Linked DNA regions of Arabidopsis thaliana. The protein of the gene in region 1 interacts with the protein of each later gene in a biochemical or structural test. Each region holds a gene or a part of one and is shown in the gene's direction. Other genes may lie near its edges. The genes, in order: BZIP60, WDR5a and TRO.

Region 1 (3,760 bases):
GTAAAACCAAGTAAAATAAATTCACGTTGAATTTAGTTTCCCTCGCTATCATGTTCTTCAAATTTTAAAGATGTTACTTAGGACGTTGGGGAAGTTATTTGAAGTTTGGTGAACAAGGAATTGTAGTACATGTGGTAAGTATTCCCGCTTACATACAAACAAAAAAGTAATATACAAAAGGAAATATATGCTTTACGTAGTTAAATAGCTTTGTTAGAGTCCTCTCTATTAGTTTAATTACAAAATTTGCAATCCTTATATTTCTTCATAGGTATTTAATTAGCATTATAAAAGAACTATATCATAGAAAATATACACTATTAACTTTCGATAAGTGACTTTATGAACCACGTCATTAGATCACAAGTCAGGTTAATACAATTGTCCTAAAATTATAATTAATGTAAATAATGTGTTACTAAAATTATAATTACTAATGCTATTATTGACAAGTTCGGTTGATAAGCAAGTCCAAAATCAAATCTCATCAATCAGACTTCTTGGGGACAAGAGATACGACCTCCAAATTTGGTTTTTGTCCAGAAGTTAAAACTAACATCATCTAGCTTTTTAATATTTCTATTGGTGTTTAAAACTTGTCTTCTATTCGTTTCTAATTGAAATTGCACTTTATCTACTTTTTTTAAAATATAATTTAACATTTTATTGAAAAATATATAATCATCAACTGCTTTTAATGTTAAACTACTTTTTAAGTACTTTTTGAAAAAGTGTAATTATTCACACAATCTTGAAATAATTTTCATCGTAAAACAATTTAATAGATGTTAATGTTGGAAATATATAAACATCAGGAATTTGAGGATGGATCTCTGTATACTCCTCATCCTCTGTATTATATTATTTAGATAGAGATTAATGATAATAAGCTACCAAACCATTAGCTAATTCACTATAGTAATATCTATTCCTATTTTAAGTTATGACTACAAAACATTAGCAAATAAACCTTAAATGAGTATGAAGAAAATAGTAAAATATATTTATTCTTTAAAATACATATAATAACAAAAATAAATTTAGAATTGATACAATTAAAGATAAATAATTAATAATAAATGTAAATCTTACATTAATTATTGAATGAACACATAGAAAATAATTAAATAATAACGTGACATTCATATGAAAATAGTAGATCAACTTTCACATATATAATTAGTTCACTCATCTGCTAGAGAACTGAAAATTTTACAAATTCATTCATGTGAGATTGAATGAAGATTAATCACTCATTTAAAATTGAATAAGGAAGATAATCCAGAATGTAACATAAATTGACAATATAATATATGATTTTAATTAACAAATTGATAACTTTCAAAGTCTAGAAGATGGTCACGAAGGAAGAAAAGTCCTCTCGGAGAACAAAGATTCAATCGTGGAAGATGTTGACGGTGACAAAGAGAAAAAGGGACTGAAGAATTTTGATTGATTTCTGAGAAATGGTCAAAGAAGCCTTGCTCTCCTTGGTCTCATTGTCCATCTCAACTACATGTACATCGTTTTGACTATAGCTAACTGGTTTACATAACTGTACCGAAAATAAGAAAATCAAACCAAGAGAAAAGAAGTGAATTAGAACCGAGTTATTAATCACACGAACACTTCACTGAGTACACGTGTTCGGCTGTGATCCTATTCTTCCAGCTTGAAGCCTTCTCATTGGTTGTGTGACGGCACATAAAAACAATAATCCTCTGCTAACAGAAACACTATAACACAGTACACTCCATCACATCATTGGCTAAAAATTCAAAAAACGCGTCCATAATCAACACGTGTCATGCTGACTCTTTTTCTACACATTTACTTGGTCGCAAAGAAATTTAGAAAAGTCTCAAACACAGTTCCTATATAACTCATCTCTCTTCCAATTTCTTAAATTAAATTCGCTTTTTTTTTTCTTCTTTGTATATTTTTTTTTTTTTGACCATGGCGGAGGAATTTGGAAGCATAGATTTACTCGGAGATGAAGATTTCTTCTTCGATTTCGATCCTTCAATCGTAATTGATTCTCTTCCGGCGGAGGATTTTCTTCAGTCTTCACCGGATTCATGGATCGGAGAAATCGAGAATCAATTGATGAACGATGAGAATCATCAAGAGGAGAGTTTTGTGGAATTGGATCAGCAATCGGTTTCAGATTTCATAGCGGATCTACTCGTTGATTATCCAACTAGCGATTCTGGCTCCGTTGATTTGGCGGCTGATAAAGTTCTAACCGTCGATTCTCCCGCCGCCGCTGATGATTCCGGGAAGGAGAATTCGGATTTGGTTGTTGAGAAGAAGTCTAATGATTCTGGTAGCGAGATTCATGATGATGATGACGAAGAAGGAGACGATGATGCTGTGGCTAAAAAACGAAGAAGGTATATCTAATTTTACTCTTGTTTGAAAAGTTAGGGTTTATGGATGGATTTTGTATGTTTGTGTTGATTTTGGTTTCATTAAGATTGTTAAAAGTGTGTTATGCTTTGAGAACAACATTGAGAACTAGGAGATACGTATGTGTAACAGTGAAGATTTGAGAAACGAGTGTTTAAATTTTGCTTGCGTATCTTGTGATATGTTCATGTTATTATGTTTATGTATGTGTGACGTTGAAGAGTTGATTGATTATGAGTGATGTTGATTTTTGTTTCATTTAGATTGCTATAAGTGTGTTATTGTTTTGATAACAACATTGAGAACTAATCATTTAAGTAAATGACTGTTTAAATTTTGGTTGCCTTTAATTATTGTTAATCTTGTGTTAATATTCATGAGCTGATTATGTTCAAACATAGGTATGTGTATTTTGGTTAACTTAAGATTGTTAAAGCCTTTTATGCTATGAAAAGAAACTGAGGTTTGATAATTGGGATGTGATTGTGGTTCAGGAGAGTAAGAAATAGAGATGCGGCGGTTAGATCGAGAGAGAGGAAGAAGGAATATGTACAAGATTTAGAGAAGAAGAGTAAGTATCTCGAAAGAGAATGCTTGAGACTAGGACGTATGCTTGAGTGCTTCGTTGCTGAAAACCAGTCTCTACGTTACTGTTTGCAAAAGGGTAATGGCAATAATACTACCATGATGTCGAAGCAGGAGTCTGCTGTGCTCTTGTTGGAATCCCTGCTGTTGGGTTCCCTGCTTTGGCTTCTGGGAGTAAACTTCATTTGCCTATTCCCTTATATGTCCCACACAAAGTGTTGCCTCCTACGTCCAGAACCAGAAAAGCTGGTTCTAAACGGGCTCGGGAGTAGTAGCAAACCGTCTTATACCGGCGTTAGTCGGAGATGTAAGGGTTCGAGGCCTAGGATGAAATACCAAATCTTAACCCTTGCGGCGTGACAACGCCTTTTTTAACTGCTTCTTTTGCGCATTTTGAGTTGTAGATGAGTGTCTTTTAGTTTTCTCTCTCTTGTTTTGTATTTCGCTGTTGAAAGTTTTCTGTCTAATATCGATAAGTTAACAGTGAATGTGGGTCTTATGGTTATGGATGATATCTATCTAATAATGCTTCTGCCTTTAAAATGTTGATTTTGAGGCATAACTTCAGGTAATATCACTTCTAATTACTAGATAACAATTCATTAGGTTGATTAACATTGATAAAGCTTTTCCTCATGCTAGTTTTTACATGTTTGCTTCATTTGACATTATCACAGTTTTTTTTTTTTTTTTTTTTGTCATCAGATATTATTTAGGGTTCAGACGAGCCAATCTTTGGGATTGTCACAGAGATTTTTGTTTGTAA
Region 2 (3,760 bases), on another chromosome or scaffold:
AGAGATGTTATTGGTTCCTAAAGAAATTTTCATGACCTTAATAATATTATAAAAAGTAAATAAATGAAAGATTAATTTAAACTATTGCTAGAAAGTTGTTTAATTCTTATTGATTATTTTCTCACAATTTTGTAAAATTTTCCAAATAATATCATTATTTTGATGATACTTTCATGACTTTATTTTAAGAAGAAAAATATAGAAAGTTATATACTAATAACACAATAATTTAATTTATTAAACAATCATTGATTCTTTTGTTTTAATTGAATAACACAAAACTTTTAATGACTTTATAAAAGTATGAATCCAATAACTCCAAATTTATGAAGATTTTAAATTTTTTTTTACAAATTTTAAACTAATAGTACCAAACTTTAACAAACTTTTAAAAATATTAATTTGATAACAACAAATTTTACATAATATTTTAAGTTAATAAAACTCAAATTAAATCACAAACCAATAACACTCCCAAAATATCAATTTAACGTCACAAGTACAAGATTGAAACTCATTAAATATGTATGATGTATCCTACTATATTATTTGGGAAGTACATTTTAAATGTAACCTTAATTTTTGTAATTAATTACATGACAATGCCATTAGAAAAATTTAATCAAAAACAAAATCTTTTAATAACACATTAAGATTACCAAAATCATTTAACGACAATATTCATCTCTTAATTATAGGCTTATTGGATTTAAAGACGGGTCATCAAAGATTTTCTAACTAAAGCAAAATATACTGAATATTCAAATATCTATCTATTACCAAATTATAAACAATTAAGTTCGTAAAACAATTTAATATTTTATATACGAAATAAAGTAAATCTTAATCACATAAAAATTAGCACAAAAAAAAATATGGTACATTCAGGTCTATAGTATTTTTGCAAGACTTTTTTGGTGGATTTGGGTAAAAGTGCATTCGGGTCATATGGTACATTCACCTATTAAATAAATATGGTATACTCCTATGTTATTAGCTAAAATGTTTAGATTATAATTCAGAGTCATATCATAAATAAAATTACTATTAATAAAATAAATGGCTTTTTGGCAAGACGGATTTGGAGGGACGGGTTTTTGAATCAACATTAATAAAAAAAGTAAAATATAATTAATCCACCATTTCAATACGGGTTAAATCTTTAATTTATTATTTTTTAAGACCACTAATATTAAACATATCAAATCATCCTAATTTAGAAAAAATTATATAAAACCAAAAATGTTATGTGGTATGTATAATGTTACTATATATAAACTTAAACTATAAAATATAAATGTATTAGAGAATGATACAATTTGCAAAACTTTTATATAGAATAAATAATTCTTAAATTTTAAAAATTACTACTTTAAAAAAAAATCACGGAACGGGTAAAGAAATTACATAACGGGTTTTATTTTGGAATTGGGTTATATGGTGGATGTATTTGAATTAATATTTATAAAATTTTAAAATATTATTAATATGTTGTTTTAATAGGGGTTAAAACTTCAGTTTTTTAACAATTGTCTCATGGATTCGTGGTATAGTGTTACTTAATAACAATTATAAACTGTAAAATATAAATATTTTATAAAAATAAAATTTGCAAATTTTAATATATATTACTTTTAAAAAATAAATCATCCCCTGGTATACCGAGGGTTAAAATCTAGTCCATGATTGTTACGGCATACCAAACTTACATGATAACTAAAGAGTCTTAGGTTAAAACTGTGGTAGTCAATATATGAAGAGTGTTGTTGATTTAATTTGCGAAGCAAGAAAGAACTAAAATTTTAAGACATTCCAAAAGACTCTGTATCATTCTGAAGGTTTGAGCTTGGAAAGCGAGCACGTGAGTCGCTCGTGAAACTATATAATTTACGAAAACTCTAAATACACCCCAATAGTATTATTTCATTCAAAACACACCCCACAATTTATTTAAAAGAGTCGGGGTTTTTCCAAGAACACTGGATCGTCGTCTCTCTCCTTTAGTTAGACAAAGCCTCCTTTCCCAAAACCCTAAAATCAGCCAAATTCAAATTCCGCTAACCAATTTCCATGGCAGAGGAAATTCCAGCAACAGCATCATTCACTCCATACGTCCATTCACAAACTCTAACATCTCACAATCGCGCCGTCTCCTCCGTGAAATTCTCCTCCGATGGACGTCTCCTCGCATCCGCCTCCGCCGACAAAACAATCCGCACTTACACAATCAACACCATTAACGATCCAATCGCCGAGCCCGTACAAGAATTCACCGGCCATGAAAACGGTATCTCCGATGTTGCATTCTCTTCAGACGCGAGGTTTATAGTCTCAGCTTCCGATGACAAAACCTTAAAGCTATGGGACGTTGAAACTGGTTCATTGATCAAGACGCTTATTGGACACACTAATTACGCCTTCTGTGTCAATTTCAATCCTCAATCAAATATGATTGTATCTGGTTCGTTTGATGAAACTGTTCGGATCTGGGATGTCACTACTGGAAAGTGTTTGAAAGTTCTTCCCGCGCATTCTGATCCTGTTACTGCTGTTGATTTTAATAGAGATGGGTCTCTCATTGTTTCGAGTAGCTATGATGGGTTGTGTCGTATATGGGATTCTGGGACTGGTCATTGTGTGAAAACTCTGATTGATGATGAGAATCCTCCTGTTTCGTTTGTTAGATTCTCTCCTAATGGCAAGTTTATCCTCGTTGGTACACTTGATAACACGCTGGTGAGTTCACTTGTTGAATTCCTTTCAAAGATTTGATGTTTTTAGTGTGATTACTAGTTTTGCTCTATAGTGATCTCGAAAAAAAGCATGAAGATTTTGGGTAGAGTGTGTTAGTAGAAGTTTGATGTAGGAGAAGCCAATTCAAAACTAAGTTTACAGAGAAGTTGTTAGCTTTAAGTATAGTTCTGTTGTTGGTTGATATTCAAGAGTTTCGAAGGGTCGTATCTAGAGGGTTGTAGCTTCGAAGATACATCGTCGTTTGGAGTTTGATTAATTTGCATTAGGAAATTAAATTCTTATGATTCGTTATTAATGCACTCATCTCTCCATGAACTTAGATTCTAGGTTGTGTGTTAATAGAAGTTTGATGTAGGAGAAGCCAATCCAAAGCTATTTTTGCAAAAATTGTTATCTAGTTAAGGAAAAGTTGATAGCTTTGGAACAGTTCTGTTATTGATCGAGATTCAACACTTTTGAAGGGTCGTATTTAGAGGGTTGTAAGATACATCTTCTTTTGGTGTTTGCGTCTATAGGGTATTGTTGAATAAAGGAATTCTCATGATTCGTTATAAATTTGCAGAGGTTGTGGAACATTTCGTCTGCTAAGTTCCTCAAAACATACACTGGCCACGTGAACGCACAGTATTGCATTTCCTCTGCGTTCTCCGTCACAAATGGAAAGCGAATAGTCAGTGGATCCGAGGACAACTGTGTACACATGTGGGAGCTAAACTCCAAGAAACTGCTACAGAAACTTGAGGGTCATACTGAGACCGTCATGAACGTAGCATGCCACCCGACAGAGAACTTGATCGCATCAGGCTCGCTCGACAAGACAGTAAGGATTTGGACACAGAAGAAAGAATAAATCATCACTCTCTCTCTTCAGAAATCAAACATGTAGGTACATGCCACCTTCTTCATGCAGTAATCATCTGTTGCTTACTAAGCTTGTTAGATTGATTCTAGCCTCATTATGTAAAAGTCTAATTTTTGTTTGGTGTAAGGGAAGTGCAACAGACTG
Region 3 (3,760 bases), 2.9 Mb from region 1:
TTGTTTGGTGACAAAGCGAGACATAGCTTTAGTGAATAAGAGTTGTGATTTCTTGAGAGGTGAGTACCATGTGCCGCCTTGTTGGAGACAAGATGAGAACAAAGGTATGGTCAAGAACGGCGATGGACAGTGGGTTCTTCCGGACCGACCACTGCTTGAACCTCACGGACCGGAGGATATCGCTCATCATCTTCAACAAGTTCTTGGGAAGGTTAACGATGATAATTTTAAACCCACAACGACTTAAGTCGAAAATTAAATATAAATAGTTATAAAAATATTTTCGTAATTAATGTGTGGATCACGTTTGATAAATTGAGTATGTTAGTGTTTGATTAATGATTTAATTAAACTTCTATAATTATGGAGGTCATCACCATCCCCCATTCTCTGTCATGTATAAGCTATGATTAGATATATAATATGTGGTTACATGATATCACGTATATATGTGGTTTAGGAGAGATCCAATACAACTTTCATTGGTTAAAAGTTAAGCGGTAAATTCGTACAAATATAACGTGGAAGAAAAGTGGACCACAACAAAGTGCATGCTAAGAGGGCATTGAGTGCGTGTATCACTTGAAAAAATAATAATCATAAATCTCTGTGTTCCCCAAAATATGATATAACAATTACAATATGCGCACGACAGGAATTAAAGGATTCAGAGTTGTCATCATATTAACAGATAATGCGATATGTTCCACAATAAACAGAACAAGAAGTTGTTCCATATCTTTCGAGTTAAAGTTGTTTATATATAGATAGTTTTGATAGATTCTTTAAGATATGACTTTGTAATCTAATTAAATACTTGAAAATCGTAACTCATGAATATACAGAAAGCTCTTTTTGTCCATTGAGATCTCTAAATCTTTCACATCATGCATTGAGGAATCAGAAAGTGCTTTAACCTCAACCTTCTTTTCTCTCAGCCTTCTTAACCACTCGAGCTTTGCTCTCCTTGTCATATGTTTTGTGATCAAGGGATTAATTTGATAAAATTCTTCATATATATCTCAGTCCATACCTCCTTGAATTCAGCAAGGCATGTACTCCATTCTTCTTGCTTCTTCTTCATCATTGTAGGCAATGCACGACCATGATCCTTTTTTTTGTTTTGCTAAATCAAGACTAGGATCCTTCTTAATAATTTCAGTGACTTCCTTCCCATAATCACCATACAATGCATCAATGAATCTCATGTTTTGACCTTTCTCAACTAATTAATAATTTTAAATAATATGAAATTAATTTTTAAGTTTATTACAATAAAAAAATCGATTTTATTAATATTTTACGAGAAGCTTGAGCTAAAATTCCTGAAAATTTTGTTTTATGATTATATTGGTAATAATCCAGCAAAAGAAGAGTTATTCCGAATAGGTTCCCTGGAAAATTGGGATTGAATAGATGTTGGATGACTAGAATACCTCGTCTTTAGAAATAAAGAAGGCTGTGAACTTTTTGTACGACGTATGCCTACTTCTTTGAAATTTTGTGGTTGTTTTAATACTTGCATTTGGTTTTTGGCTCAATTTATAAGTAATCGGAAGTTTTTATTAGTATGTATATTTTTATGCAAGCGATAGGATAAACAAATTTTAGTAAAGAATAAGGATAATAACTCATTCCATCGTATTATACATTATATTTAACCACCACCAATTATAAATATATCTATTATAAAAAGATCAAATTAGAGTACTTATAATTTTTTAACTTTTTGATCTATTAAGTATTGATGACATTCTTTAAAAATATCAAGTAAAACTATTTTCAAATGTTCTATATAATAGTACTTTCCAAATAATAGTATAAAAGTTTAGAAAAAAATATATGAGAAAGCCAAATAATCTATTGTTAGATGCATAAACCGTTTTTATTTTTAAATGGACTAAACTACTAAGAAAACATGGACACCCCTTATCCAAACCCTAGTTTCTTACTGGGCCTCATAAAGCCCACATAAGTCTCTAACATTTAAAAAAAATAATTCACTGTTTCTCTGCCATCCGCCAGTCTCTCAAAAATTTGCAAGTCGGCGAGTGCCACAAACTGGCTGCATCAAAAAAAACTTCTGTTTCAATGGAGTCTCTTCAATCAAATTCCAAAATTGAAGAAGCTGAACAAAATCCCAAAATTGAAGAAGCACAAGTCTCAGTATCGCTTCCCGAAGAACCTACCGGAGTTCTTCTTCCCTCCGAACTGGTGGACGATTCAGCGCCGCCGGAATCATCCGATGCTGTCGAAGAATCAATCGAAACTGCTTCAGAAGCAGAAGTATCAATTTCTCTTCTCGAAGGAACTACCACCGGAACCGCTCTTCTTCCTTCTGAAGAGAATGATTTAGCGCCATTGGAATCGTCCGGTATAATTGAAGAACCAATCGATACTGATTTAGAGAAATTAGATGTAGTAGCTATGGATGTTGATCAACCCGGATCCGATTTGAAAATTGAATCCGATTCATTCTCTGAAGAAGCTCCGACTACTTCTTCCTCCGATAACCCTAAATCTCCGAAACTGGATTCTGTGGCTAATCAGAACGGTAGCGCAATGGAAGAAGACGAAGGAGATGAAGAGCAAGATGATCCACCGCATAAGAAGCTTAAGCAGCTAGATTGTCTTACTTCAGTCGCTGTTAAGGAAGAGGAGGAGCCAGAGCAAGTGCTTCCATCGGAAGCTATGGTTGTGGAGGAAGCGGCGACTCTGGTTGCGAGTGCGGCTAAGAAATCTAAATCGAAGAAGAAGAACAATAATGTATGGGTGACTAAGAGCACACGTAAGGGAAAGAAGAAGAGTAAAGCCAACACGCCGAATCCAGCAGCTGTAGAAGATAAGGTATTGATAACTCCGGTGCCTAGATTTCCCGATAAGGGAGACGATACACCTGACTTGGAAATTTGCCTTTCTAAAGTATACAAAGCTGAGAAAGTTGAGATAAGTGAAGATAGACTTACTGCAGGAAGTAGTAAAGGGTATAGGATGGTGAGAGCTACAAGAGGAGTTGTTGAAGGAGCTTGGTACTTTGAGATTAAAGTTTTGAGTTTAGGTGAGACTGGTCATACACGACTCGGGTGGTCGACTGATAAAGGGGATTTGCAGGCTCCAGTTGGGTATGATGGGAATAGTTTTGGGTTTAGGGATATTGATGGGTGTAAGATACATAAGGCTTTAAGGGAGACATATGCTGAGGAAGGGTACAAGGAAGGTGATGTTATTGGATTCTACATAAATCTTCCTGATGGTGAATCTTTTGCTCCAAAGCCTCCTCATTATGTGTTTTATAAAGGGCAGAGATATATTTGTGCACCTGATGCTAAAGAGGAGCCTCCTAAAGTTGTACCAGGTATGTCATGCGTCACCTGTTCTTTAATTTTCGTGTTCTTGTGGGGTGACTTTTCTGCTTTTTGGTAGTCGCATATGTTTTAAGTAGACTAAAAATGTGTATGAATGTTGTTGCTTGTGATGGTAGCTTTATCATGGTTTGGTAGAGAATAGATAGTGGAGATTCTTCATAAAGATAAATGCCTTAGTTTTGTTTTTGCTACCCTCCACATCTATGATGTAGATGGTATCTGTGCAATTCTGGAAGATTAATGACCAATCTTTCGTTAACGATACCTTTACTTCTGATGCAGGCAGTGAAATATCGTTCTTCAAAAATGGTGTATGTCAGGGAGCGGCCTTCACAGATATTGTTGGCGGTCGTTACTACCCTGCTGCTTCGATGTACACTCTTCCCGACCAGTCA

The links.
Region 2: the proteins of BZIP60 (region 1) and WDR5a form a complex in vitro, tested with the Arabidopsis thaliana proteins (one study listed by BioGRID).
Region 3: the proteins of BZIP60 (region 1) and TRO form a complex in vitro, tested with the Arabidopsis thaliana proteins (one study listed by BioGRID).

What each region holds. Positions count from the first base shown.
Region 1 is NC_003070.9:16,135,656-16,139,415, reverse strand, and holds BZIP60 (basic region/leucine zipper motif 60), read left to right. Parts: upstream 1-1,952; 5' UTR 1,953-1,956; coding exon 1,957-2,393; intron 2,394-2,903; coding exon 2,904-3,354; 3' UTR 3,355-3,693; downstream 3,694-3,760. UniProt on the Arabidopsis thaliana protein: Transcription factor involved in the unfolded protein response (UPR). Acts during endoplasmic reticulum stress (ER) by activating unfolded protein response (UPR) target genes via direct binding to the UPR element (UPRE).
Region 2 is NC_003074.8:18,411,620-18,415,379, forward strand, and holds the start of WDR5a (Transducin/WD40 repeat-like superfamily protein), read left to right. Parts: upstream 1-1,944; 5' UTR 1,945-2,070; coding exon 2,071-2,736; intron 2,737-3,316; coding exon 3,317-3,604; 3' UTR 3,605-3,760. UniProt on the Arabidopsis thaliana protein: Forms multiple COMPASS-like complexes involved in histone methylation by interacting with different histone H3 'Lys-4' methyltransferases such as ATX1, SDG14 or SDG16.
Region 3 is NC_003070.9:19,072,308-19,076,067, forward strand, and holds the start of TRO (TRAUCO), read left to right. Parts: upstream 1-2,020; 5' UTR 2,021-2,091; coding exon 2,092-3,355; intron 3,356-3,647; coding exon 3,648-3,760. Other genes in the region: AT1G51440 (alpha/beta-Hydrolases superfamily protein), read left to right, coding at 1-247.